4 linked regions of the Lytechinus pictus genome follow. The protein of the gene in region 2 interacts with the protein of the main gene of each other region in a biochemical or structural test. Links are inferred from orthologs where the notes say so. Each region holds a gene or a part of one and is shown on either strand. Other genes may lie near its edges.

Region 1 (6,918 bases), on a different chromosome or scaffold from region 2:
CGTATCAAAAAAAGTTTACAATTTGAAAAAGCCCTGGGAATTAAAAAATATACAACATGTGGGTAATTTTTTTCACATATAATCTTGGATTTGGGTCTCACTTATCCAATGAAAGTAAAAGTTTTGTCAGAATGTTACACTTGAGTGAGCACTGTCCATTTTTGTAAAGCTCGCAGAAATCTGTTTGCGCAGAAATGCTCGTTTTCACGCTGTGTTAAGGGGAAACGGCGAAATCAAACTTACCCTGCGAAACATTTCTCATACATTTCCCTTGCACTTTTAGTCAGTTGAAATAAGACGGATACATTCAAGCATTTTGTAACAATTTTGCCACCCAAATCGAAATTTCAGCACTTAGTAAGCACAACCTTTACCCTTTTTGTGCCAGCTGGATCTGAGGACATAACTGAATCTGAACAAAAGTTTAAATCAGACATCTCCAGCATTATTTCACTCAGTTTTTATCATTGAAAGTGGGTTTACATTTCATTTCTCATTTAATACATGTTTCTCCACATTTTTCCCAAGCTTGGTAATGATTAACAAAATGAAAATCAAGCTTAAGCCATTCCATGTAAATCACAGCTCAGTGTAAAGCAAATATCGTCACGATGGCCTCGGTGTGTGGGGGAGAGGAGTGGGGTGTAATGCTCTCTTCGAAGTGTTTTGGGCAAGGAAACAAGTCAAAAAAGGTAAAAATATCTTCAAATCAATTTTAATAGCTAAACTCTACGTGTTCTTCATGATTAAGGTCTACTTTTATTCGCATAACTATTTCAAAGTTCTGCGCAAATCATTTTTCACTAACTTTTCAAAAGTAAGTGGTGCTCACTCAAGCGGAAATATTTTTCGACAGTTATATCGTCATTTGATTAAATGGACCTGTACCATAGTTAAAATGTGGAAAAGAGTTCAGGATATTACAAATGTATAATTTTACAGGATTTTTTCAAAGTGTAAATTTTTTTTGATACGCACTGTAGAATACGATTAATAGGATGTGCCTATACGATCACCCTACGGGCGCACTGCGACGATCGTAGACCAAACGTTTTTTTTCTCTCTCTCTTTCCTTTCCTTCTATATTTATGTTAATGATTTGGTATTATTCATTATTTTAAAATGTTATGTATAATGAGGAATAAATAAAATATGATTTTAAAACAAAATTCGTAAACGTTGAATAAGATTAAGAAGTGATAGTGAACCATAATATTGTAATTGCTGCTTAGTGGTGGTGCATATGGTGAAGATGTGTGTATCAAGGGGATGATAGTTTAAAGGGATGGTTCAGGCTGAAATTATTTACATCTAAATAAATAGAGTAAAATTCACATAGCAAAATGCTGAAAATTTTATCAAAATCCGATAACAAATAACAACGTCATTGAGTTTTAAAGTTTATCAATATTTTGTGGAAACAGTTTTATGCACATGTCATGAATATTCATTAGGTGGGCTGATGATTTCACATCCCCACTTTCCCTTTTCTTATGTTTTACATGAAATCATAAATTTTACATTATTTCATACATGTGTAAATGATGTGTCTCCATTATGATGAAATAAGCTGTTGCGGCAAGAATAACTAATGCACTAAATCAGTTGTCAATCCAAGGTTTTAGTTCTTGGTAGAAAAATATTATTGTGAATAAACCTTATTTCATAGAATAAAATACAAAAGAAAAAGTTGGGAAATTACATAATCAGCCCACCTAATGAATATTCACAAAGACATGGCTAGAACTGCATGTATCACCGAAATAATGCAAATCTTTAAAATTCAATAACTTCGTTATTTGTTATCTGATTTCGATCAAATTTTCAGCATTTTGCTTTGTGAATTTTACTCTATTTATTGAGATATAAATATTTCCAGCCTGAACCATCCCTTTAAAAGAAGAAATCATGTTTCTACAATGCTGCATGCAGCCAAACCCTTTTTTTAATACATGTAATGTAATTTCTTTAGAAAATTACATCAAAATAAATTTATTTTCATCACCCCGAAAAAAAATCATGATAACAGCATAACTTCGCTGAGAGTAAAAAATAAAATAAAATAAATATAAGAACACAACCAGAGTATCATATAAGTGAAATTTCGATCAACTTCACCATCGCCGCAACTCGCACTGATAATCCGATACTTTTAATCAGAAAAAGCTTAATTTGGAGCCGCCGAAAGCCGTTCAACATAAAGTTTCAAGATTGGCCAACGAAACAATGAATCTACGGATTTTAAATATACTAAAAAACACTCCATCACCACTATTTTAGTGATGTTAAGGATCTCACAGAGAATAAAGAATAAATGAGTTTTGTGAAAGCTATATTTTTTATATGGACATTTGCAAAGGTGATAAACAATATGATACGACCAAGCCCTGCCACTATTCAGGATTGGTCTAAAATTTTATTGGCAAATTTCGTCACCAAACACGTCTGTTGGGAGAATAAACGTACATGAAAGAAGGAAGCCAGGGAGGGGGAGAGACAAAGAGAGAGGGGGAGCCATGAACTAAGAAGAGTAAGGAAGGCTAAAATGGGGAGAAAAAAGGTGAAAGAGAAAACAAATTAGATTGTCTCTTTTCCGTTTTCTTTCTACATTTCTATTTCCCTTCCTCCTTCTTCTACACTCTAAAAATGAAGTGCTAATTTATCACTTATTTGTCCTTGTATAATGACTGCACTTTGAGTGCTCATTCAAATTTGAACTAGGAAAAGATCAGCACTCAAAGTGCAGTCACTATACAAGGACATTAAGTGCTAAATTAGCACTTCACTTTTTAGAGTGCATTCTTCTATTTTCACTTTCATATCTTCATGATCTTTTGCCACATTTCTGGTGGTCCCTCATTGAGAGAGGGGGAGGGGGCGCTGCGCTACCCCCCACTCGTTGATGCCCACGGAGACTTCTCGCATAGGCCCACGTGTAATCCATCTTCTCTTTTTGCATGTACGTGCTGTTTAAATAATTTCTTTTTTTATTGTAGACCCCCTATTTCATTTGATTAATGACGAAAGTTACGGTGTATAATTTCACCTTTATAACTTATACTTCAGTGAAGTTGGCTAAGGCATAATTGTGGATGTCATTCAAGTTTCAAACTCTGAAAATCCCCTCAAATTTGATAGATGGGCGGAGGAGGGGGGGGGGGTTGAAATCTCATGATATGGAAGTCATAGCTGATATATATAAAGGAGCACAAAGTTTTCCAACATGCGACCAAAAACTCTCTCTGATGCTACCAAGAGATGGTTAACTGCCGATTCGTCTTTTGCCAACTCGTCTACTCATCACATGGTCAACCTTCATTTAGTCTAAAAAAACTGTCATTCCGTCCATCATCAACATTTCGTCTATCAGTGATCGACAATTAATAACCATTTGGTCCAATAATCACTTCGTCTAATCACCAGTTCATCCCTGACCATATTTCGTTTAATAAGCAGTTGGTCTAATATCCATTTTCTTTTATTCATTTCGCCCAATAACACTTATCCAATTAGACCAAATGGTTTATGGACTAAAGGGCTATTGGAACAACTGGTTAATTATACGAAATGGTGAGTGGACAATATGGCAATGAGACTATGCGCATAGATCAATGGTAGTATAGACGCGACGATGAGTCGAATTGAAATAACCCAAACTTGGGGTCTATTTCAATCGTATCCCCAAGAGATTGACACGAAAAGTTTTTTATGAAATCCGAGCAAAAAATAAGATGTAAATTTACTTTCTTATCAAATTTTTTATTTTCTCATATATCATTTCATTATTATGATCAGTCAAATATTATTATCATTATTATTATTATCAATTCAGTATACATGTCGTTCATCAGTTTCATATCAGAGATAAGAAATTTTTGGAGATCGCTATTATAAAGGATCCTTAAATTGGCAACGTAATGTAAGATGGATTAATTGCGTTCAATGATACTATCAGCTCCTCCGTACACAGAAGAAAATACTACAAAGTAGACCTCATAAAGGAGCAGATATTCTACATTTTGCACCTTTTATTTCATTTTACTACATTTCTACGATCATGATAACATTAATGAGAAGTTGCTTTACGTGAAAATATGAAATTTTCGACCAGGAAATGCTATCCTGTGGTTCCCGAAGGACTTGACGACAGTGCGAAACGCCTTGGGGCCGGCTTTGCAGCCGCACAGCTGCAGCACAGCACAGGTACGGTACCGTACTACCGCATCGCGTACCCGGCGCGGTACGGTTAATGTGTATGCCTACGTGTATGACGTGTGTGATGATTATGCGTGATCAGTCATTCCAAACTTGTGAAGTTTAGATCAAACTGTAAACGCTTTTCAAGTTTTCATGAATCTTATCTTAAAAAATTGCACCAAACTTCTTCATGAAAACCCAGTCATCTTTTGAATTTGATTTTGAGTGCTCTGCATGGCCATGCCCGGCCATGGCCTGGGAGTGGGAGTGCACGTAACAACATGATTTTCCATCAATCACATATTCACAACGCGGCGTTCCAGTTAAACGCGTTAGAGGCCGTTGTCGTTGATCCAAAAATTGGGATTGTCCCTGAAAAAACAAGGATATCCTCATCAACAAAGACAAATCAATCATGTCTTGATAAATTGTCGTTATTTATTACTAATTTGGACAGGTTTTTTTTCCACTTACCCTGGCCCTGCACTCTGCAGCCTGCAAAAAGTGCAAGATATGTAGACTAGTCTTGTAGAGTGTAGACAGCGACTAAGGGAATAGAGTGCTAAAATTAATTTAAAAAATAGATGAAGTGACTTTAGTTCCCCCACTTCACCGTCTATTATTCACGTCTTGCCATCTTCCAATAATCTTGTTATGAAATCTGGTAATGTTAACATTGACTAGCGCACTTGTTTAGTTGTCGGCACTTATTTCAGCCAGGTGAATGAACTCTATACTACTTCTTTTGTGGAGAAATCTTTGAAAACTGAAGACAGTCCCTGTAATTACTGTAATACTGGGACGATCCCAATTTTCTGACCAGCGCCTCTACTGCGTTCAGGATCTCTTCGAAAATGTGCACGTCATTAGATTTATTGTGTGCATTCACTTTCACTGTCCATCTGAGGCTGAGCTATCTAACTCGGTCACAAAGACTGAAAGAGCTTACTTTGTTGGCAGTGCTGAGCCAGTTTTGTTGATAGGGTCAAGATATAGGTTTTCCAGACTAGTTGTTGAAGGCCCTATTTGAACAAAAATTAAGAAAAGCAAAAAAAAAAAGAGAATTTCCAGTGGAAATTGTCTAATGAACGGATGTCTTGATCTACGGTACTGTTAGTTAGAAATCATTGATTCTTCAGTCAATTGTCCAGAACTGCTTAGTGCTAGAAGGCTGAAGGTCCAACAAATAATGTACACCCAAGAATCCAAGATTTTTTTTTTCATGATAAGATATAAAAGATTGGCATCCAGTAAAATATCCAAAGTGATTAAGTATGTTGCTGCGAGTGCAAGGTGTTGATGTCATGACAGAGTGAGATACGTTAAGTTCTCGCAAGCTCTGGGTTCACTGAATAATGTGTGAGTTGCATTTATGACTGTAAAGACTGTATGTACATGCTTCTGCTCCTACCATTCCATGTTTTGAATTGGAATGGAACTTGTTATTTCAGTGCATGTTTTTTTTTTGCCCCCGTTATATTTGTGATATTCAGCTGAGAGAAAAGGTAGTCTTCCCGTACCATGGCAAAGGTAGACATCAATTCTGCTGATGTAGATGCCCTGACATCTCTACTCGGTGTGGGGAGGAACAGAGCTGAAGCTATCGTCCAGCATAGAGAGGTATGTATGGTTCACACAAGTTCAAGCTTTGATAATCTATTTTGGTCTGCAGTTTTACAGATTGGGTTGAATTTCCAGGGAGCAATGTTCTACACTCTAATGATAGGATTAGGCCTGAGTCATTACGTTTATTATGAAAAAAAAATATATACCTAGACAGGCAATAAGGGTTAACCAACAATTTTTTTTTGCGGGGGGGACCCTCTTCAAATGTTGCTGAAAATGTACGTTTTGCATCTTTACATTCTTATTACCTTGAAAGTATTGTGATTTCTGTAGAACTTTGGACTACAAAGAAAATTTGTAATCCTTTTTTTTTTCTTAATTCTGAAAGATCAATTTAATTTGATGTTTTGACTTAGTATGTTCTGATGAAATATGTATGATATTGTCTGAAAACTGGTAATCGTACAAACTGTGAGTGTCAAATGGCTTAGGATGCGAAATTAATAGTGCATGATAGCAATCTCATATTTCCTGCTGGGACACCCTCTTCCCCTCCCCTTTCTCCTTCCCAGTTGATCTTTGTAAGACATGTTTCTTTAATATGGTAGTGAAGAGGCAAGAAATGTTAAAGTGGGGCATGATACTGGTGCTTCTCGGTACTTTATTTTGGAGAGTGAGTTGACTTTTAGTGAGAGATCTGTGTTAGAGCTAGTGTTTTGCTCAAAGGAATAGAAGATGGCTTTGGAAAAACACCCTTTGTGTCAGTTGTGTCATATCCAGTGGTGAGTGCTCTTCCGTGTGAGAGTAGTAAAACAGGATTTTTTTCCCCTACTGTCTTTTCGTCTTGTGCTGTGTTTCGTTTTCAAGGAAGTGAGAAAATGAAAAAGCTGGCAATTCTTTATTGATTGCCCCATTGCAATAGTAATTGCAATGTTACTCTTTTGGATATCTCATGAACGATATGTCTGTTTTCTCAAACATTTTGAGAGTAAATTGAGATTAAAATACATGTTTTGTGTTTGTAATATTGCAGGCCTCTGGGGGATTCAACAGCATCCAGGACCTGATCACAGTACCTGGTATCGGGAGCAATGTGGTGGATATGAATAGGAACCGGCTGCAGTGCCGTACGAACCATGATGATAGGACTCAGTC
Region 2 (7,051 bases):
TTTCAATAATTTTGTTTTTACAATACATTGCATGACAAACTTCATAAAAACGAAATAATGGCAATAAAGGTAAAATGCATAACTAATGCACATGTATTAGTTGATGCATCTTTATAGAAAAAACACAAAATTGATTTGGAAGAAAAGATCTAATTCATTCAGATACATGTAGGTATCATACAATGAAGAATTGAAAATATTACCCAGCTTTCAAATGAACACAATATTCACATGACTTTAAATGGTTAAAAACATGAAAACCTATTATTGCAAGTACATTTTATTGGAACATATTCCAGCAAAGATACAAAAATTTGTAACGTCAAATTCTGTGCAACACGTGGAGAATACAACAGAGTTATTTTTTTAAAGAAAACGTTGTTCCAGAATCTAGCATGTGAATAATGGGTCAAAAGAAACTCATGTATGATTTAATTAAATAACAGATTATTCTTCAGCAGTGTTTCATATTTCGCCTTCATACATGGATTGCTTATATTAATGAATCACAACCTTTCTGTTTATGCCTATGTCATAGACTCATCAGGCAAAATGTTATCTGTCTGAAGTTGTATTGCAAGAATGGCGGCATTGGTAAATACAAAAAAATAAACAAAACACCGACCACAGGTGTCCACAGGTGTCGTAGATCAAAATGCGTAACTTTTACTGTAAGTTAAGAGTCTAAAAGCTTTGGTGCAGTAATGTGCAAACAAGTCGCAAAATATTTTATTTGGCCTCCCAATGGTGTGAGCTGTTGAAATTGTTGCAAGATTAAATTGATAACACAGATGAGCTACATTGCATTTGCAGCCATTTCTGATGGTCAGTGGTCATTACAAGCAAAAAATAAAGAAAGCTGATTATTTCCTTGCACACAATGCTTTCGTCAAATGTACAATTGGTAAAAAATAAAATCTGAGGAAAAACAAGAAATTCATAACACAAGACCATACATTCTGTTCGAAATAACTTCTCAAAACCAGTATGCTTCTTTGAAAGACAAAAAATTTTCATACGAATATTCACATCATAAACCATTTCAATGTACAACTTTATAAATTCCTCGCAGTTTCCTTCAAAAATTTTCTCACAAAAAATTATTTGACTTTCCTTCCCTTTTTTCTTTTGAATAAAGGACCATCCTACTACACTGGACTTCAAAAGACTAAGCATGGACAAGTACAATTAAAATTTGGGCATTATAAGTGAGTTTACACCAAATGACTGTTACCAAAGTACTGACTCAAAATTACTGGGCAAGCTAAAAGACAAATTGTCATTAGGTTACTAGGTTTGATGGGTTTATCAAATCGTCTTACTGGGCGGAATAAACAAATTCTCAATTTGCTCTGCATTTTTAGACATGTACAGTGTACCTACACAGAGATTGATAAATGCAGAAGATTATCAATTCCATACAACGAACATCATGGACTTGAGATATTTGAAAATCAGAAATAGGAATACTGGGGATCCTGCCCCAAATTTCTGGTAATTTTGGATATAACCAGGTCGGAACTACTGAATGAAAGTAATTTTGTATCAGCACTATAATATTGGGAACTGCAAACCAGCACAGTAAAATAGATTACATAGGTCTATACATGTCTTCTAGGTCAATTTTAAGATCTCAAAGAATATGAATGCAAATACAAAGTCCACATCCACAGTAATGTTTGTTTCGCAGGCCTCGAAAGTCAATAGTCTGTAGATCACTATTTTCAGTTATGAATGTCAGTGTTTCAAAATCATCTGCAATTATTCCAGATTAAAAAGCCAGTTGTTGTGCCAACATAACTTGACATCCACTCTTTACGTGTTCCATCACACTCTGTTTCAAAGCACAAACTTGTTCACGAAGCTTGGTTGCTGTAGTCGACAAGTCTGTATTTTGCGTTTTCAGGTCCTTCACTTTATCCTCTAGCCTGGCAATTCGCTCAAGCTTGCGCTTACGACATTTACTGGCGGCAATTCGATTCCTGAGCCTTTTCCTCTCAGCCTTGATGCGTTCTTGTGTTTCCATATCGATGGGGGACATGGGTGGGTTAGTGGTGGCGTGGTACACCGGGACGGTCTGGGGCTCTTCGCACGCAGGTTCTTGTTTGATACGTTCAACACTCGTCTGCCATCCGCATGTGATGGCTGTAGAGTCAGTGGGCATAGAATTACGAGATGAAAGGCTAACGGTTGATCCAGGCAGTGTAGTCGTCGTAGGCATTGCAGGGTTGTAAATCGATGTCGCAGCTGTGGTCATACTAGAGATGGTGGTAAGGGGGTTGAGGACCTGCTGCTGCTGGTAGGTTGTTATTGGATCACTTAGGTCCAGCTGGTCAACCGACGATTCATCATCGCTCACCACGGACTCGGAGTCCCCCGAATCATTCCGTTGGTGAAGGCTCTGGAGCGCCTCGACGAAACCCTGGGCGAAGGCGGCTTGCTCTTCGGTAACGTTTTTCGGGCAGATAAATTGAGTAGGCGTTGGTGTAGTACAAATATTGCCTTGCTGAGAAATAATCATTTTTTCGAGTTCAGGAGAAGCGAGTTTGAGCATCTGAACGTCTGGAGTCGACAGCACAGCAGCCGTAAGTTTGCGCTTGCCCGTGTCCAAATCCAGAGTCATGCATTTCTTCTTGCTCAGCCACGGGTTATGTGCATCTTCGTAGAACTGAGTCTCCATCTTTTTGCGACCGTTTTCGGCTGACATACAAACAGTTATGAGCTTTCTCTTGCTATGAGCTACAAGTCTGAGTCACAGGTCTCGAATTGATGTGGCAAAGAGGGAGATCCTGTAGTTGGCCAGGTAAAGGATTGAGAGAATTCTCTGTCTCTTCACAGTGCAAAATGAAATGATCGTAGCATGAATTTCCGATACCAACGCTGACTCACTATATATACACTGACTAAGGATTCCCAAAATAGACGGAAGAGCAGTGACATCAGATTCTCGAATAACGATTGGTCGGCGATGATGTAAGACGTGTGTTTGGCAATGTCATCTTGCGATCTGATTGGTCGATCCCAAATGTCAATCAAAGCACGTGCAGTGCTCTGGAAGTAAACGGTAACCCCTTCGACGACTCCACTTTTATAGTAGGGATGATATATTCCAGTGTACATATCAAGCGTATCATGATATAATCACGTTATAAATTAAAGAGACAAATATAATTCCTATTCAGTTTTGGTTATTGAATAATATATCTTCTTATTTTGATACCTTTTATCTCGAAGAACTTTAGATGAAATATTATCTAAATGGTGATATTCTATTGTTTTTAGTTTGAGTTTACCCGTAACGATGTGGACGCATCCAATTACACGTCACAATCTTTTTCCGGGTAATAGAACCAACCTCGCCGGAAGAGGTCCTTCATTTCCATAACAAAACATGCATAAACCTTGATTTCGCTACGTCACAAGTAACAACCCCTTTTTCCTTATATGGTATTGTTGTGGAAGTGAACGAGATCAATCAGGTGGTAAAAAGGTGAGACTAAATTTTGTATGTTGCTTGTAAGTTACTCTTAAGTTATCACTAACGTTTCAAGATGGAAATAAGTGGATGTTTGTGCTAGTAATAGTATTTGCTGTTTCAGTTAGTGTTGGCATTGGCATTGCTCGGCCTAACTCACTTTTACTTTAAAGTTTTAGTTCATAAAATCTTACTCTTAGTTAAAACACGTGCAACTGCAATGCTATTTCGAACACGTTGAGGTGGTGGGCATGCCATGGCATGGTCACATTCATGGACATGTCATGGACATGGATTTTCCCATTATTTATGCAGTCTAGGCCTATCTAGTATAAATCTCGATGTACATGTCTCTCCTGTTTCATTTGCCCAAATGAAGATCTAACGTTAGACCTAGGCTTAAAAGTTTTTAGAGGCAGTGACTGTCTTTTGGGACGATTCAAAGATAAATGCAAATAAAAATAGGGTCTAAATTTTTTTTTTTTACCCATGGCCATGCATGATTGAAAATAAAGTTTTGTAACCTATAGATCTAACGTTAGGCCTAAATAAAAAAAAATAATAACCTAGCCCAGGTAGGTAGAACAAAAAAAAGAAACAGCATTTCTACTAAAAAGCATTAGTGGCTAGATTTAAGAGTCTAGGCCTACCGTAATATTATTATTAGCATTATTATCAGAGACATTGCTCAAAACTTACCTCAAAATTTCCTAAATAGTGAAAAACAAGGCTTAAATACTCAATAAAAATATGTGCCTGGAAATGCATGTAGCATAATGATCCATTCCTATAAGCTATACTGTGTGGGATAGTGGCTAAAAATAGGCATTTTAAAGTCTTTATGTTGACCTAGACTGTTTGAACCTCTGTGAGGAGCTGTGAAACGTGTCACATTGATAGATAATGAACTTGGCTGCCAGAAAATGTTAAGATGTCGATACATTGTTCACTCAAAATATAGAAAGAAAATTTGAGGCCAACTAACCCATTGACTTTTTTTATACACATGTCTACAGCACAAATCTAGTGCCATCATAGCCTAGCCCTTCTGCCTAGATCTAGACCTAACGATAGGCTAGACAGCCATCTGTTTCAAGGATTTAAAAAAAAAACTTGTACTAGATCTAGATCTAATTGGTGAGTGGAGCCAACTAGTGGAACTCAGAGACCGAAGCTTGTGGTCTAGATCTAGAGAGCTGAAATCTGTCTGGTGGAGTTTTAAACATATAAAGCATTTTTTTACATTTTGAAATTTCTCCTCCGTTTGAGTGAGTGACGGTGGCAGTGTCAGTCTACACATGGACTGATGAAATTGGAGGAGACGGTGAAACAAGACATAGCCAAGTGCAACACTGACGAACAGAGACTCAAAACGGCAAAGCTATTGGTCTAGAATTTAGACTAAGTTTGGCCTAGTTTAAGCCTAACCTTATTTATTAAGGCCACCGCACACCTTACGACCCGATTGGTCTGCGACTGGCTTGCGACTGAGTGAGGGGATATGAATCGCAAGGTAGCCATAAGCCTCGACACCGCACACCTTGCGATCCGATCCAACTACCAAGCCGACTACCATGCTGTCTGCGACTCACGCATGCGCTTTTTGCCATAGCAACTAAGAAAATGCGCTTACTACTGCATATGCGCGTTGTATATCATATACGCGTCGTGCAACTCTGCTGTCTGATTGGCTGGAAGTTGGATTGAGCTTGCGATCCAGTCGTAAGGATTCGGCATGTCAAATCCTTCCGATTATCCTTGCGACTTGTCTCTGACCGGTCTGCAACTATCAAGCTGACAAGAGCTGTGACATCACATCTCCCCTCACTCAGTCGCAAGCCAGTCGCAGACCAGTCGGGTCGTAAGGTGTGCGGTGGCCTTTAGACATGACCTGGCTAGGGCTTGGCCCTGGCCTAACATTAGACCCTACACTAAAGTAACAATAAGGTATGATATGATAAGATATAAGTATACTGTTTTCTAGGGATTGTTGATAAATTAATTAAAGTTTATTAACTCTAAAGTCTAGTTGAATAAAAAATCCCCAGAAATGATAGCAGACTTCTATTCCTGTCTAAGACCTAGATCTAGCCTAATTTCTAGTCCAAATACTAAAATAAAACAAGTTTGAACTAAATCTTTTCAACTTTATCTCTAACTTAGTCTTAGACTATGATGTAAGATTTAGCTTTTGGAAGTAACAAGGTCCGTACAGTATGTCATATCTGTGTTCTATTTATAGATGATAAAAAAATGCCATAGACCTTAAATCATTTTTTAGGGTACAATAAAACTAGGGTTGACCACCGGATACTGCCATTTTGGTGTCTTGAGTACACTGAAGCGAATATCCAGTACTATGGAGTGGGTTTAAATGAAGATTAAAGATGTCACTTTAATGGTATGTGGCAAGCAGATCTACACAAACCAATTGTAATGCTGTTTTGGTCTGTAGTAAATCCAAACAACACCTGTGCTTACTTCCTTTAAGATGGGCTTCAAATCTCTAGTTGTCCTTGTTTCTAAAGGTTAAGACTACATTGTTCTTCAGCTATTGCTCATGCCTGTTTACACCGTACTAGACATGTTTTTCATCCGGTTTCTTCAACACTTTGAAAAAAGAAAGTTGTTTGCTGCAAAATTCTGTCTGCCTTGAACACTGTTTAATCAATTGTGGTTAGATTTATAGATCTGTACTGTTATTCATTTTGTTAGATGTAAGACAAGCAGCTTACTTATTGACAATAGTGAATGAAGGGTTTATTGGTGCAGTGCTATTTTGGGTTGTTATTTCATTGTGCCTATTTTTTCCATTCTGGGAAGAAGGGAGTTTTTATCCTAATGGATTTCATAAGAACTGCTTACACTGTTATCACAACTTATTCTTTGGTATTTTATTTTATTAATAACATCTATTCAAATTTTGTCTACCAAGAAAAAAAAATGGATTGACAATTGATTTAAAGGTCAAGTCCACCCCAGAAAAATGTTGATTTGAATGAATACAGAATAGCATAACACTGAAAATTTCATCAAAATCGGATGGAAAATAAGAAAGTTATGGCATTTTAAAGTTTCGCTTATTTTTCACAAAACAGTGATATGCACAACTTAGTGACATGCAAATGAGTCAGTCGATGATGCCCATCACTCACTATTTCTTTTGTTTATTTATTGTTTGAATCATACAATATTTCATTTTTTACAAATTTGACAAAAAGGACCAACTTGACTGAACCACATAGTATTAAGCAATGCTAATTCCATGTGTTCAGGGAGAAATAATCATTGTTTCACTTGACAATGAGGAGAAAATTAGAATATTTCATATTTCATATAATAAGATACAAAAGAAATAGTGAGTGGATGGCGTCATCTGTCTCCTCATTTGCATACGACCAGGATGTGCATATAACTGTTTTGTGAAATTAAACGAAACTTTAAAATGTCATAACTTTCTTGATTTACATCCGATTTTGATGAAATTTTCAATGTCATGCTTGTTGGATTTTTCTCTTTTTATTTTAATCAACTTTTTGTTGGGGTGGACTTGTCCTTTAAGGTGTAAGATAATAA
Region 3 (7,686 bases), on a different chromosome or scaffold from region 2:
ATATCTTATCAATCATAAAAGTTGTCAATAGATACACAGGCTTTTTGGTTTTGTTTTGTGTTGAAATTGTGCTTATTATTTTCATGGATTGTATTGTGGTTGATAATGGGCGTTTTTCATAGAGAGCTAGTGGTTTGAAGCTATGTTAGGATGCTGAGGATAAGATCAGGTTTCACTGCCCATGTTGCATGATGCACTAAATATAGCTGCGTTTTCTTTTCCGAATATTTCTGAATAAAAAACGAGTGTACGATGATCAAAACGAAGAAGATAATTCTCAAATCGGAAAGTACCCGAGAGCAACAAAACCTCTGTACCCGGGGGACGTTGTTTACACTATGAGAAAACCTACTAAAAACGACAACGCCTGAGTATTCATCATGTTCATTGAAAATAAAGAATAATAAATTAGTTGCTATTGGTACCCATTCTTTTGTACGCACAGATATCGCCCGACGATGAAACTTAAACCGGTTTTCTTGGTTTTCTTGGACAATCATGTTTTGCATCTTTGAAAGGAAGTGGCTCCCCCGAACGTATTATGGTACAGGGGTGTAAAAACGTCATCAATCACGTGACATATAATAAAAAACCGTATTTTCTTTGTAATCAGTTTCAACTTTTTTAATTTCAAGTCAGTGATATGTAAGTTAAACCATTAAGTGTTGTATCCATGTATTTCCCCCAAAAAAAGAAAAATGCCAACATAAAAAACGAGCGTTATTTAGTGACGACAAAGATTCTGCTAACGAAAGTTCATGAAATGTTCCGAAAAGCTTAAGATGTGAAGAGCGCCGCACACGGCGTTCCACGAACAGGGCGTCAAGACGCTTGATCCGTTTTTATCAAAGGACCTTGAGAATCCCATATCTGTAGAAGAACTTTATAATGTTGTCAAGCAGCTAAGCAAAAATAAATCTCCTGGTGGGTGTTTCATAAAGCTGTTCGTAAGTTAAGAACGACTGCTGATCCCGTCTTGCGGTAAGCGGTAGGCCTATATTGAATTGGCGATGGTTTAGCGCGTAAGAAAGGATCACCAGTCGTTCTTAAAGTCACTCTTAACTTACGAACAGCTTTATGAAACGGCCGCCTGGTATCGATGGACTTACCTCTGAATTTTATCATGTCTTTTGGCCCATGCTCAAGAATGATTTTCATGAAGTTCTTACCTCCTCTCTTGAATCTGGATTTTTACCATACTCTTTTAGGAGGGCGGTCATTACTTTGTTCCCCAAAACAGGAGACATCGCTGATATTTCAAATTTGCGTCCCGTCTCCCTCCTCAATACAGACTATTAAATTTTTGCTAGGCTGCTTGCCAGTAGGCTAAAATCATGCATTGATCAGGTTATTGGAAGAGACCAAAGTTATTGTATCCCCGGTCGTTCTATTTATAACCACATTAATCTCATTAGAGATATTTTGTTCTATGCTAACATTGATAATATTCATTTGGCTGTATTGAACTTGGACCAGAAAAAGGCATTTGATAATGTAGATCATATCATGTTTATTTATTTAATGTTATGAAACGCATGGGTTTTGGAAGTAAATTTATATCTTATATACGAACTTTGTATGAAGGGGTTGAAAACCTTATTAAAGACAGTGTGTGGATCCCTAACAACTCCCTTCCCCTTAAAGAAAGGAATACGACAGGGATGCCTTTTATCAGGGTTGCTATATTATAATCTCGCCATTGAGCCTCTCATTGAGAGAGCACGTGTCAAATCATGCCTTAAATATTCCTGCTATTAACAAACCATGTGTAGTATCTGCATATGCAGATGATGTATCGATATTTGTCACAGCCGATGCCGGTTTTGAATTAGTTGAACAAACTTACAAACTGTTTAGTCTAGCCTCTGCTTCTTCTTCTCTATAAGTACAGGCCACCGTCTGGCGTATTGTCGTACTGCATGTTTGAATACAAATAAATCGCAAGGCCTTTGGGTCGGCCGTTGGAAAGGGCGGAATGATAAACCCCTTAACTTCTCTTGGAATAGTGAAGGTCTCCCTTTTTTAGGAGTTCATTTAGGGAACACAGTTAATTATTCTAAACAAAACTGGGTTAAGTGTAAAGAAAGACTTAATAAGACTTTCCTATCGTGGTCTCGTTTATCAAACTCACTCTCATTTAAAGGCAAGGTATTGATTGCGAAATGGCAGCTCGCAGCATCAAAAATATTTCATTTTCTTGCAGACCTTTCTCCTACTGAAAATATATTAAACGAACTTCAGAATTTAATTGTTAAATTTGTCTCTACGGTCAAAATATGCGGCACTGGTTAAAGAAAGAAGTGTTGTAAGAAAAACCTGACGAAGGAGGGCTAGGGTTAGCTTAATTGTCTCCAAGCTCGTGTTCTAACTTATAGATTTTCGATTATTCAACGGTTTCTTTCTTTAAATTCTCATCCAGTAAACGACATTATGGCTCATTTTCTTAGACAATATTGCAAACTAGGTTTTGATTACCAATTGTTCTTTACAAGAATTGATCCTAAATTTTACACTAGGCTTTCAGTTTACTATAGTGAAGTTTTGCGAGCTTGGTTGACATCTGGAGCTCGAATTATGACACAATCCCTCTCTTTTAGCCATGCAATAAATTAACATGCCCTTAAATAGTATTTATATTATTGATGCAATTGATGTTGATAATTTTTTTCCGGCGCGCCTGATGGCATGCGGAGTGAAACTAGTTCGCCATTTGATAAACCCCTCAACTGGTCTTTGGATTGAGAGTGGCTGTCTCCAAAAGAACTTTCGAAGATTTCGACAACCATCATCGCGTCTCATGAACGTGAAACATTACTCATACGAACTGCACTCTCTCAAGTTTTCCCTCACTCAGGCTGTCAACGCAAAACTCTGATCTATTAGCTCCAGATACTCCAATCAACTTCACTCTGGCTTCTTCTGAAATGGACTCATTGCTTCTTCTAAAGCTACAGGAAAGAACTTGATAATGTGACGACCTCATCAAGCTCACATTGGCATGATACTGGTTTTCTCGATTCATCTACAAAAGTGAACTGGCTGTATATTTATCAATTACCAACATCTAAAAAAGAGGCTGATATTCAATACAGACTCCTGCACAATATATCAGGGGCCGCAGAAGCGGGGGGGGGGGGGGGCTTCAGCCCCACTTCAAGTTTTCCAAAACCGTGTACAAAAACGAAAAAATGACCATTATGATTGTGATTATTTGTATGGTCAGCCCCCCCCACTTTTGGCTCAGCCCCCCCCCCCCCACTTTGAAAAACCATTCCGCGGCCCCTGTATACTACCGTCGCTAACTATACTTCATCATCTTGATACAGACATTTCGTCTTTTTGCGGATGGTGCGGAGAACCAGGAACCATTCAACATCTGTTTATTGAGTATATAAAGGAATCCAACCCCGTCTCAATCTTCTTCATAGACTTTTGAACAATCTCCTTCCATCTCTTAAACTTAATTTTGACTTATACTGGGCTCTCATTCCGCATGCCAGAGGACGTGACAGAAAGGTTATACGCCTTGCAAATTTTCTTATCATCAGTCTAAAAAGTACCATTTATTCCATGTATCGCACCTGAACTTTCACTGATCCACTAATTGTTTGGCTACATCGTCTAAAAAACAGAATTTTGTATGAATTCTCTTGTTAAAAATTATGCTCCAATATCGATGCCTTCTTACGGAAGTGGTGCATGAATAAATTACCATTAGCGGGGCAGTATTGCATGGCTCATATAACATTTGGTTTTAATTCTGTGTTTGTAATAAACGGTTGAAAAACTGTGCTACCTGATTTCCTTTGAATGCTCATGTCAAACTATTTTTTTATTGCAGGGGCCGCGGAATGGTTTTCAAAGTGGGGAGGGGGGGGGGCTGAGCCAAAAGTGGGGGGGGGGGCTGACCAAAAAAATCACAATCCTATGGTCATTTTTACGATTTTGTACACGATTTTGGAAAAAAGTGAGGGGAGCTAAAGCCCCCCCCCCCCCCCCCCCCCCACTTTCGCGGCCCCTGTATTGTATACTTGACTTTTGTGATTATAATTTGTAAATAAAGTTTTCATTTGAAATGTCAAAAAAGTCTTTCTTTCTTTCTTTATCTCTCTCCCTCTCTCTTTCCCTTTTCTCCTCTGTCCTCCATACATGAATTTTCCGACTGCCATGAATGTTTTTTTTTTTGGGGTGTCACACTCCCCCCACAGCTATGGCACTGACTTTAGATCAGTTCAGTGCTCCTTTCGGGAGCTTACGTATACGTATTTTATCTCTGTACTGTGCATGCAGGCTAGAACCACGAACACCATGGACAGAACTATAAACGATCCATGCGTATACCATGTAACCTCACGGGCACAGCATTGACCATGTAGTCTGTGTTTCAGAAGTTCATAGCATTTTAGAAAAAAAATGAAATCAGTGAATTCGAGGAGCAGTCACTTCATTTTCTCAATAAAAGATACACACACATTGGTTTTTTTCTCATTTGTGATTAATCTATTTGGTATTTCGTATGGAATTTGAATTATGAGAAAACATAAAACAATATTCTGGCACTTGCTGAGGGGCTGAGTCACTGCGATCCAAATAAAGGGGAATTTCATGACGTCATTGCATTAGGAGCGTCGCTCCGGCTCCGTACGTACGTATATCAATGTACATACGGTCTCGTGACCATTACTAACTTCGCCATGTTATGGAAATGGTGGTAGTGGCTGCTACACGTCATTCTCCGAGAATAAAACATCTCGTCATTTTCAACCAACGTGATTCCTCCTCGCTTATAATTCATCAACAGCGGGTAAGTTGGATGGACAACCCATCAACAATAACAGTAGAGTAACAAAATAGTGATTTTGACCTGTGACAAGCAGATGATTATGGGTATTAAATAAATCGTCGCCGGATTCACAATGGTTGTGGGTGATCAACGGAAGGGGAAGTTGACTAGCGATCGAATGCATGGACATAACAGCTTTGTGTATGTATTCCAATTACTAATAGTAGATTTGTAGAGCCAGGTTCAGTCATTCAGTTTTAAAATTAATAAAAGGGCAGACGTAAAATGGCAGAGCCAGATGTAAATTAAAAAGAGGGGAATACCAGGAATGGCTCCCCTCCTGAGTCCTTGCTAATTGCTTACCATTACTTACTTTGTCATTTGATTAATGTGACACTCATTCAATGAACAAGGTTATGAATATGATTATAAGTTACCTTGTTCTCAGTTACATTTCTTAATCTTACATCTTCATGTGTGGCCAAATAAGGTTGGCAATGTTTGGCTTATTTTCACTTTTTCTTTGGGACAAATGCTTAATTTTTTACACTGTCAGTTTCCATTACAGCTATTCATCATATATAACTCACTCATTCAATAAACAAGGTTATGATATAACCTTGTTCTCAGTTACATCTCTATGTGTGGCAAAATAAGGTTGATAATGTTTGGCTTATTTTCTCTTTTTCTTTTGGACAAATGCTTGATTTTTTTACACTGTCAGATTCTATTACAGCTTTTCATTATATAACTTGGCTCTTAAGTAAATTTGATTCTTTAAATTATTTTTTCTTCATTTAAAATAGAGCTTGACAAATGAAAATTTTCTTGCCATATTACTTTCCACCAATAGAGGGCGTACACAAAAATATGCCAAAAATTCAAGTTTTTGAGCGCTCTGGTCAATACAAAAATCATTCTAAGTTACTAATGAAAATTGAATTGCAACTGTATGGAAATTAATAATTTTGGTCACAAAAGTGATATTTTAATGATTTTTTAAAGTGTGTGCTCAAGACAGCATTGGCATACCATAGTCCTACCTGTAGATTCTCCACAGGCAGGATGGTTGCAGTGAACAAGTGATATAACTTGGCTCTTATGTAAATTTGATTCTTTAAATTATTTTTTTCTTAATTAAAAATAGAGATTGAAAAATGAAAATTTTCTTGCCATATTACTTTCCACCAATAGAGGGCGTACACAAAAATATGCCCAAAATTTAGGTTTTTGAGCGCTCTGGTGAATACAAAAATTATTCCCAATTTACTAATGAAAATACTGACGTCACGGAGCCCAGGGATGGAATACCATTGCACTTCACGCACCGCCTATTTTCCAACGCTGCAACTTACTCCAAATCGCACATTTTATTTAGGGTTTTGAGCCCAAACTTATCATTTTATGTAGATCTAGATCTAAAAATAGGCTACAAGTACAATATGAATATCATTATCAGTTTGACCCTTTTGGCCAAAATTGTGGTTTTTTAATACAATTGCACTTAAAATTTTAAATACATGAAAATATTAAAAGTAGAGGAGCGTTTACTCGTAGTCTGTTATTGTCGCCATCTTGCCGTATTTGTTATAGCCTAGCTCATTGGCCACAACGACAAATCGTCCATAGACTGTGTACAAAAGATAGATCGTCTCCGCACAGCGATTCGGAGACCGCTGATTGGTCAATCGCGCAGATCACGTCATGACTACGTGGTCGCCAAAATAATTCCTTTGGACTTCGTGCGGAAGTATCGATAGCGATAACGATATCCGGTCACGTTGTGTACGCGGGAAATGGACTTGGTTCATGATCGGATCGCTCTGGTATCGATCGAAAATTATTGAAACTCTGCAATTTCATTCATATTCACGCGACGCTCCGAAACCCGGAAGCCAATTGACTTTGTGCACGCTTGCGATAGACTCTACAAATTCCAAGGAACACGATGCCATACCGACGCTAATTCGTAAGATTTTGACGGAAAAGCAAGAAGTAATTGAAATTTGCTTACCTGTGCGGTATCGGTGAGAAAATAGATCCTCCGAGAATACCTTTCATAATTCATATAAAATATAAGAAAGTGAAATTCTAGGTCGATTTAGGTACGAGGTGATAGAGAATTGCACACTTGTTTTGGTGGAATACTGTGTGGGGAAATGGAAGGCTTGCACTACGCATGCTTACTATATTTTCATTCATAAATTGGCTCTCGGCAATGGCTGGATGACGTCATGTAATAAGCAAAATGTACACGACCACTAGCGTTGAACGCTCCGCTATCCGTTGTACACAATTTGTCGGTGTGTTGGCCTAGCTACAAGACGCCTATAGAGGGCGACAATATCATGAGCAGTGCTAACTTAGATAAAAAAATACTTGCATCAGCCGATAAATATCATGAATCTTACCTCAATGCTAAATGCTCAATTTAGGAGTGATTGAGGAGGGTGCAAAAGTGCACCCTTTCTCCATAGGCGCTGTAGTTAAGAGGCGGTTGTTTGCTCCACCATTACGAGCCCAATGGCCTACATTGGTCTATTGACGGAGGGGATGCCGCGGAGCCATGCAAAGTCTCAGCGAAGCATATCCCTGAAAGAAATAGACCTACACGTATTTATCAGTCTAACCATAGTCCTACATTCCACACAGGCAGGGTGGTTGCACTTAGCCTTGAGGACTCTGTGATCATATTTTTTATGAAATGATATTGTCATTTGATCACAGAGCCTTGAACCGCCTCCCATAAGAGACACATGTAAACAAAGATGGATTTTCCTAGGAAATCCATCTTTGAAGATAGAAATCACGTAAATTTCTATCATTTTATTCAACTATACACTTTCATACGCCTAATGCGTATGAAGGTGCAAAAAGTATGTTAATAAGAAGGTTAAAAATTA
Region 4 (7,873 bases), on a different chromosome or scaffold from region 2:
TCATTAGGCATTCTATTCATTTCATGTTTCTCATGATAATGAATTCAAATTCAAACCTTTTTTTATCAGTGTTATCAATCTAATGGGAAATAAATTTCTTATTTCTCTATGAAATATCTTTTCTGATTTCTATTCTGTCTCTTACAAAGATTGGCACCTTCAATCTATGTTTGACACAAGCAATCTTTGTAAGGCCAATGGTATGACTTGTACACACAAGATTGCAATATACCCTTTGTGGTGATGAATATGGTGGCCTCCGTTTACGGAAAATGTCATAATTAGTGACTTTGGACAAGAAAATATAACATGCTAATCCTACGTTCATAGATTTAATTTCATTAAGGTTCCAAATCATAAAACGTTGTAAAGGAATTTCATGGAGGAGAGACTGCCAAAAGATAAACGAATGGATACATGCCTTTTATTATTTGAAGAGCTTCATCCTTTGAGCGAGTGATCCTGTCATCCCTCCAGGATGCAGGTCTTCTAGAATCTCTATGTTTGACTAGGAGATGGGAGCAGCGAACTTTATTGGCTGGAGGACCAGCTGGTTTCTCCCATTGACTTTCCTTGGTAGCAGCTTTAAAATAGTATGGTTTACCTGTATGTTTGAGGTTAGAAAAAAAAAAGAATGCAAATTTCATGTCTATTGTGTCCTCATTGTAAAATTTGTCACCTCTTGCGTTATAAGTGATCTGATATGCATAAAGTATGCACATAGCATATCATTAACTTTTTCATTGCTCTACATTATGACTAGTATCAGACATCTGAGCTGTTTTATATATTAATTTTACAAAACCATATTGCCCTAGAGGGAAAGTGCCAATTCGTCTACTGCCAACACCATCTACCTTCATTTAGTCCATCAAAATTTCGTCTAACAACCATTTGGTCCAATCATAACTTTGTCTAATCACCAGTTTATACACTTTGACTGTCTTTGGATTACACTAAAAAGAGTTTCGCTAAGGCAAGCACATAATACGCCCGTCTGTAATGCAGAAAATGAAGTTATTGGTCAAGCAAGAAAAGTAGGTGGCGACCTTTGACCTTCTGACCTCAAAATCAATAGAATTGCTAGGATCTATGCTAGTATCATACACACCAAATTATATGAGCCTAGGTTAAGTTCAACTAAAGTTATCGCGTAAACAAGGACTTCAGAAGGATAAGATGAAAACATGTCACAGTGACCTTGACCTTTGGACCTCAAAATCAAATGGCTTTCTGGCTTCAAATTAAAAAGGCTTCCTAGTATCATACACACCAAATTATAGGAGCCTGGGACTAACCCAGGCTCCTATAATTTGGTGTGTATGATATAAACTGGAGTGTATAAACTGGAGTTATTGCGTTTACAAGGACTTCAGAGAATTGAGAATATGATTTGACATTTCTTGTCCTGTGGGCTACATTAAAATTGAGAATATTATCATATTTTGGAATTTATGCAGCCCTATGTCAGACGGACGAAGTTACCCATTCCTTTTCCGTATTTTGCCTATTTACGGGAAAATCTGCCATTTTGATTTTATGATTTCATGTATAAATTACTAAAAGATGAATATTTAATAACTTGATTTTCTTGATACAAGTAGATAGTGTTAAAGACTGATCTTGATATGACACTTTTGTACACCAAGAGCAAAGTCATTAATTAGAATAGCATATGAGATTTATTGATATGTATTTTATGTTTTTTTTATAAATATTTACTTATCTAAGAATCTACTGAAACAAACAAGCGACTTCAAGTGAGTATTACTGGATAGTCTTAACCAAAGACTTTTGTATTCATAATTTGTTTGCATAGTTCAATTTGCCTATAAATGTTTAATCATGAAATACCCGGTATATTACTTGAAAGTGAATAGTTTTATACTGAATAATTAAGCATTTACAGGAATTATTATTGAACTTAGACTCAATAGATATTATGCCAGGGGTAGGGTGGGCAACGGCACCAGATTTGTGCTGTAGACATGTGTAAAAAGAATTTTAAGTCAATAGGTGAATTTGCCTCAAATTTTCATTCTATATTTTGAGTGAACAATGTAGTAACAAATGTAGCAACATCTTCACATTTTCTAGCAGCCAAGTTGATTATCTATCAATGTGACATGTTTCCATGGCTCCTCACAGAGGCTCAAACAGTCTAGGTCAGCATGAAAACTTAAAAATGCCTATTTTCAGCCACTAGCCCTGTGTGCACATATATGCGCGCGCGCAAATTTGAAATGCTTAAAAATTTGCGCGCGCACATATATGTGCACATGTAGGGACAGTGATTTTCCGCGATCGCGGAAAACGGACGGAATTCACGGAAAGGGCCTTTTGAAACGGAAAGTGGCATTTCAAACGGAAAACGTATTTTCCCTCAAAATACACAGAATAGTACCCAAAAATTAATGAAACGTACCCAAAATTAATTATAGGCCATTTTGAGCATTTTTCAATTTTGACGCGCGCGTCATGACCTTTGATGGCATTGACTGATGACCTTCGACCTAAAGTTTATTTGATGACGTAAATATGATTGACTATTGATTGTCCGTTATGTACATATTATCAAATTAAGAATTTACAAAATGGCACGTAGATGACGTCATCATGACCAGATGACCTTGAAAAGCTTAGTAGAGCGTCTCTATGATAGACATTATATATGACGAAAAATTCAGCAAAATTGATATAGCCGATTCGGAAAAAAGTTGGCGACAAACATAGGTGCGAAAAATAAATAAAGAAAATTGACGAAATTAAGAGGTGATCCGTCAGAGACAGCATGGACAGACCACCTAATTACAGCAACAACGGAAGGAAGATCAACGTTTGGTTCGGGGGGAAAGACTGGCAAGTTAAACTCTCTGGCATTATCGTGGTTTATGTCACCAGTCCATTCACTGCCGTTTATTTCGTCAGCGGTGGTGACATCTTTCCATTCCCATTTTGGCATTGACTTTGTACACAACGAGGGAGTAACTTTAGAATCCAATGTCATGTTATAATCGATTATGAGACCAATTTACCTCCTAATCGCTGCTTTGCTGCTGCCGGTGTGCGATAGCCAGTAAGCCAGAGGCTTGGTGATAGTAGTTTTGTCGCCCTCTACGTTCGTGAGCTAATGAAGAGGCCCCGGCGTCAAGCAGGAGATAGATCGGAAAATGGATAAAGGATGAGAGGGGGAGGGGGATGGTCCCGTAGGGGGGTACACGACTTGTCCAATATGGTTGATGTAGAAGGAGGGGTGAAGTAATGTCAGGTGATATGATAATCAGAGGAGTTTTTAAGGGAAGATATATGAAGGAATGAAAGAGGGGGCGCGTGATCGAGGATATGTGCATTGGTATATATTTATGTTGATTATGTTTAAATGTTATTTAAGGAATGATAGTCGTTGATATGTATACATGGATACATGTATACAAAGATACTTGGATACTATTATATTACATACATGTTTGGATATGGATACTTAGAAACATGGATACGGGGATACTCGGATACTATTGGATACTTGGATACTATTGGATACTTGGATACATGGATACGCGGATACGTGGATACTTGGATACTATTGCATACTTGGATACTTGGATACATGGATACGCGAATTACGTGGATACGTGGATACTTGGATACTATTGGATACTTGGATGCTTGGATACATGGATACTTGGATACATGGATACTATTGGATACTTGGATACTTGGATACTATTGGATACTTGGATACATGGATACGCGGATACTTGGATACTATTGCATACTTGGATACTTGGATACATGGATACGCGGATACGTGGATACTTGGATACTATTGCATACTTGGATACATAGATACGCGGATACGTGGATTCTTGGATACTATTGGATACTTGGATACTTGGATACATGGATACTTGGATACATGGATACTATTGGATACTTGGATACTTGGATTCGCGGATACGTGGATACTTTTGGATAGTTGGATACGTGGATACAATTAGAAACTTTGATACGCGGATACGGGCTTATGCCTACAGGAAAACTTGAATACATAGATACTTAGCAGAGCAAATCAAAGACACCGAGAGACAGGGCTATACTCCGAGAGACCCCGCAGTGGCCGACCAGTTTCGACAACCCCTAGAGATGATCGCTACTTGACGAATCTCAGCCTCCGCAACCGCTTTCACAGTACACGCCGCCTCAACAATGACTTCGCTGCAGCAACTGGAGTGATTGTTTCCACTCAAACAATCCGTAACCGACTTCACAGAGCCAATATGCATGCCAGACGGCCAGCTCAGTGTGTCCCACTCACCCCTGCTCACAGAAGAATTCGTCTCAACTGGGCCCGGGAGCATGTCAGATGGACCAGACAGCAATGGCGTAGAGTTCTGTTCACAGATGAGAGCAGATTTTCCCTTGACCACAATGATGGACGTTCGAGAGTCTGGAGGCGACCAGGAGAGAGATTTGCAGACCCCTGTATTGCAGAACATGACCGTTATGGGGGAGGCAGCGTCATGGTGTGGGGAGGCATCACCTACGCCAACCGTACTCGTCTCTACGTGGTCCCAGGGGGAGCAATGACAGGAGTGAGGTACAGGGATGAGGTCCTTGAACCTATAGTGGTGCCATTTGCAGAAAATGTGGGACAAAACATCATTTTCATGGATGACAATGCCCGTGCCCACCGAGCTAGGGTGGTGACCGAGTTCCTTGAGGGCCAGGGGATTGAGCGTATGGAGTGGCCAGCGAGGTCCCCGGACTTAAACCCGATAGAGCACGTCTGGGACATGATGGGGAGGAGTCTCGAGCAGCTCGAAGCCCATCCACTTGGACTGCAGCAGCTGGGTGTGGCTCTGGAGGCTGCATGGGATGCACTGGACGTCAGAGACATCAATCGCCTCATCAGCTCCATGAGACAGCGCTGTGAAGCCGTTATTGCTGCAGGAGGTGGTCACACTCGTTACTGAACTGCCTGAAAGACACTCAGACATTCGTTTTTACCACTTCATGTCGGTAGCTGATACCCCTCGGGGCCCACTTTTCAGGATGTGCAGTGATGCGAGAGACATTGTGCAACAACTGAAACCACCCATGCGTGAAATTGATTACAGCGTGTTTAAGGGCATTTAGGACAGTTGTACTGAGGTATTTCCAGAAATAAAACACCTTGTATAAAATCTTTATGTACGTTTTAAAAAGTGGTCCTTAACTTTTTTTGAGTAGTGTATAATAATAGGTCCTTCTCATGATGATTGTATAATTACAATTTTCAGATTATTTATCTAGTTCTATGGCTAATAGTGCTAGGCACTACAACAAGTGCAATAATTAAAAGGTAAAAAAACATAAACAGTAAAGCAAATAATAACTTCGCTCACAAGAAACAATAGAAAATAAAATACAACACGCGATTTACTGTGTGTACATAGCAGAAATCTATGACATTCTACCGCTATTTTATGTTGTGAAGAGATCATAAGTTTTAATCAAAATTATACACAAGCAGTTTCTACTCACATGTTCGAAATTGAGTTGATCATCAATCCATCATGTAGAGACGTACCAACATTCCATCCACCTTAACTTGTCCATGATTATTCAAACGCAACCAAGAATATACAGAAATATATTTTTAAATCTAAATTCTAAAGCAGGAAAACTAACCGCATGTTTCAAAGTGACATCGAATAAGTTCCCCCGGAAGTTCCCACACTGTAAATCAATGTGGTTGAGGAATCATTGCACATCTGATCATCACAAAGATGAAAGTATGGAACGATCGCAGAAAGCGTTGCGATCAAACGAAACTCCCACAAATCACGTCTTTTTTCGTATATTTTTGAAGGGTGAAAAGAAAGATGTATGATTGAACATAACTCTTCCGCACTGGTGCTCCGAAGATGATTATTACAGGCTCTCCATAGCTGTATCTTTATTTCACAACAAAACCAGAAATATTTCTCTATGATCTATCTGATTATGATGTTAATCAATGATTATTGACTGGACACCTACACAATGTTCCGGGCAATGTTCACTCGATGAAGCCAAACGTCGAAATGGTGAACCACTGCAATGCGCATCACGAGCTCTGTAATCTGGTGTTAGTACAGCGACGTAAGATGATGATTGGCTGAACATGTGATTCGTCATATCCTCTCTATCCAATCAGAGATGGTTCTAAATGGTTGCGACATTACATTACAGGGAATACAATCAGGGTACTAATGGATAATTCGTTTTTCATTCCCGATCATCGCAGAGCGAAAACGGAAATCAACCTCATGGTTCGGTCTTTGAAAACACAAAAAACGAAATCACGACGAGAAAAACCTGTTGTGATTTCGTTTTTGGAGATCAAAACAGAAGAATGAAATCAGAAATACTTTTGGGCTCTTTCTGATTTCTCATTCTATACTTGTGTTTGTTATATATAAAAAACAAAATCAGAACACGCTTTCCGCTCCGTGATTCTGTTTGGAAAAACGCAGACAGCGAAAAAGAAATCGGAAACTCGCTTTCCACTTCCTGCTCTGTGATTTTGTTTTTTGCACAGCTAGCAGCCGTATCGAAATACGGTTTCCGCTCGTCTCTGAGCCGAGTTGTCCTTTCTTTCATGTATATTAAAGAGCGCTCTCTACGTTTCCGATCGTTATACACACGTGCACGCAGTACAGCGCATGCATGTTACGACCACGTGCAACAAAAATTCACGTTAACATGGCTTTTTTCCAGCGTTTTCGGACCTTCACAGAGCAGGAAGTGGAAAGTGAGTTTCCGATTTCGTTTTCGCTGTCTGCGTTTTTCCAAACAGAATCACGGAGCGGAAAGCGTGTGCTGATTTTGTTTTTGATATGTAACAAACACAAGTATAGAATGAGAAATCAGAAAGAGCCCAAAAGTATTTCTGATTTCATTCTTCTGTTTTTGATCTCCAAAAACGAAATCACAACAGGTTTTTCTCGTTGTGATTTCGTTTTTGTGTTTTCAAAGACCGAACCATGAGGTTGATTTCCGTTTTTGCTCTGCAATAATCGGGAATGAAAAACGAATTATCCATTAGTACCCTGATTGTAAACACTACTATTACAAGAGACTAGCTCAAGGATTGAATGTATCACCAGGAATATTTCAAGCTAAGATAGATGATATTTTGAGTACAATACCAAATTCTAGGAATTTTTGCATAGCCATCATGATGATATCATTTTGTTTAGCCCTGACAAGAATACCCATAAGCGACAATTAGAACTTGTACTTCAAGCACTTACTAAGAACAGACTGAAGGTCAGTCCCAAGAAATGTAAGATTTTCAGAGATGATGTCACATAAGGCGGTGCTGCACATCCCGAGTTTGCTCAATCTCGAGATTTTAGCCCGATCGGCACTCTTCGCGATTAATCTCGAGATTCAAGAAACCCCGTCTCCACCATCGCAAGAAGAGCGATTCCTGCTCGAGCGAGGCCCAACAAGCCCAATATTTCGAGCATGCGCACTTTCGGATCTTGGAGTTTCAACGGCCCGCGCTTTTAAATAACTTCCCGCGATATGCAATCAAATACATGTAGGCTTCTCCTTTCTCTAGCACTTTCGCCGAATTCGACAAGTCTTATGCAGCAATCCTCTCAGCTCAGCTGCGCTCAGCGAGTGAAGAAGTGATGTATTCTTCGTTAAATATGATGGCGGAAAAGGAGGCAACGACAGAGAGAGAGTGAGAGAGAAAAGGAGGAGGAAAGAATGCTATTTGCTCACATTTTGCGAAGGCCAATACGAGTGTTGTTATTGACTATGACCATCGTCGATAAATGAGCGCCTACCCCATATCCATAGGTCTGGTCTCTCCCAAAAATCCATTCACTGTTGGGAC

The links. The genes of interacting proteins can lie anywhere in the genome.
Region 1: the proteins of transcription factor Jun-like (region 2) and F-box/WD repeat-containing protein 7-like form a complex in vitro, tested with the Homo sapiens proteins (3 studies listed by BioGRID, with this or other methods). The link is inferred for Lytechinus pictus from reciprocal best matches to the Homo sapiens genes JUN and FBXW7.
Region 3: the proteins of transcription factor Jun-like (region 2) and cyclic AMP-dependent transcription factor ATF-7-like form a complex in vitro, tested with the Homo sapiens proteins (4 studies listed by BioGRID and IntAct, with this or other methods). The link is inferred for Lytechinus pictus from reciprocal best matches to the Homo sapiens genes JUN and ATF2.
Region 4: the proteins of transcription factor Jun-like (region 2) and peptidyl-prolyl cis-trans isomerase NIMA-interacting 1-like form a complex in vitro, tested with the Homo sapiens proteins (2 studies listed by BioGRID). The link is inferred for Lytechinus pictus from reciprocal best matches to the Homo sapiens genes JUN and PIN1.

The regions. Positions count from the first base shown.
Region 1 is NC_087249.1:44,557,760-44,564,677, reverse strand, and holds the start of F-box/WD repeat-containing protein 7-like, read left to right. Parts: upstream 1-3,911; 5' UTR 3,912-4,203; intron 4,204-5,690; 5' UTR 5,691-5,718; coding exon 5,719-5,817; intron 5,818-6,796; coding exon 6,797-6,918. UniProt on the Homo sapiens protein: Substrate recognition component of a SCF (SKP1-CUL1-F-box protein) E3 ubiquitin-protein ligase complex which mediates the ubiquitination and subsequent proteasomal degradation of target proteins.
Region 2 is NC_087255.1:21,057,266-21,064,316, forward strand, and holds the start of transcription factor Jun-like, read right to left. Parts: upstream 3,004-7,051; 5' UTR 2,708-3,003; coding exon 1,772-2,707; 3' UTR 1-1,771. UniProt on the Homo sapiens protein: Transcription factor that recognizes and binds to the AP-1 consensus motif 5'-TGA[GC]TCA-3'.
Region 3 is NC_087247.1:50,736,481-50,744,166, reverse strand, and holds the start of cyclic AMP-dependent transcription factor ATF-7-like, read left to right. Parts: upstream 1-4,679; 5' UTR 4,680-4,916; coding exon 4,917-4,984; intron 4,985-7,686. UniProt on the Homo sapiens protein: Transcriptional activator which regulates the transcription of various genes, including those involved in anti-apoptosis, cell growth, and DNA damage response.
Region 4 is NC_087259.1:1,859,541-1,867,413, forward strand, and holds the start of peptidyl-prolyl cis-trans isomerase NIMA-interacting 1-like, read right to left. Parts: upstream 3,008-7,873; coding exon 2,899-3,007; intron 605-2,898; coding exon 422-604; intron 1-421. UniProt on the Homo sapiens protein: Peptidyl-prolyl cis/trans isomerase (PPIase) that binds to and isomerizes specific phosphorylated Ser/Thr-Pro (pSer/Thr-Pro) motifs.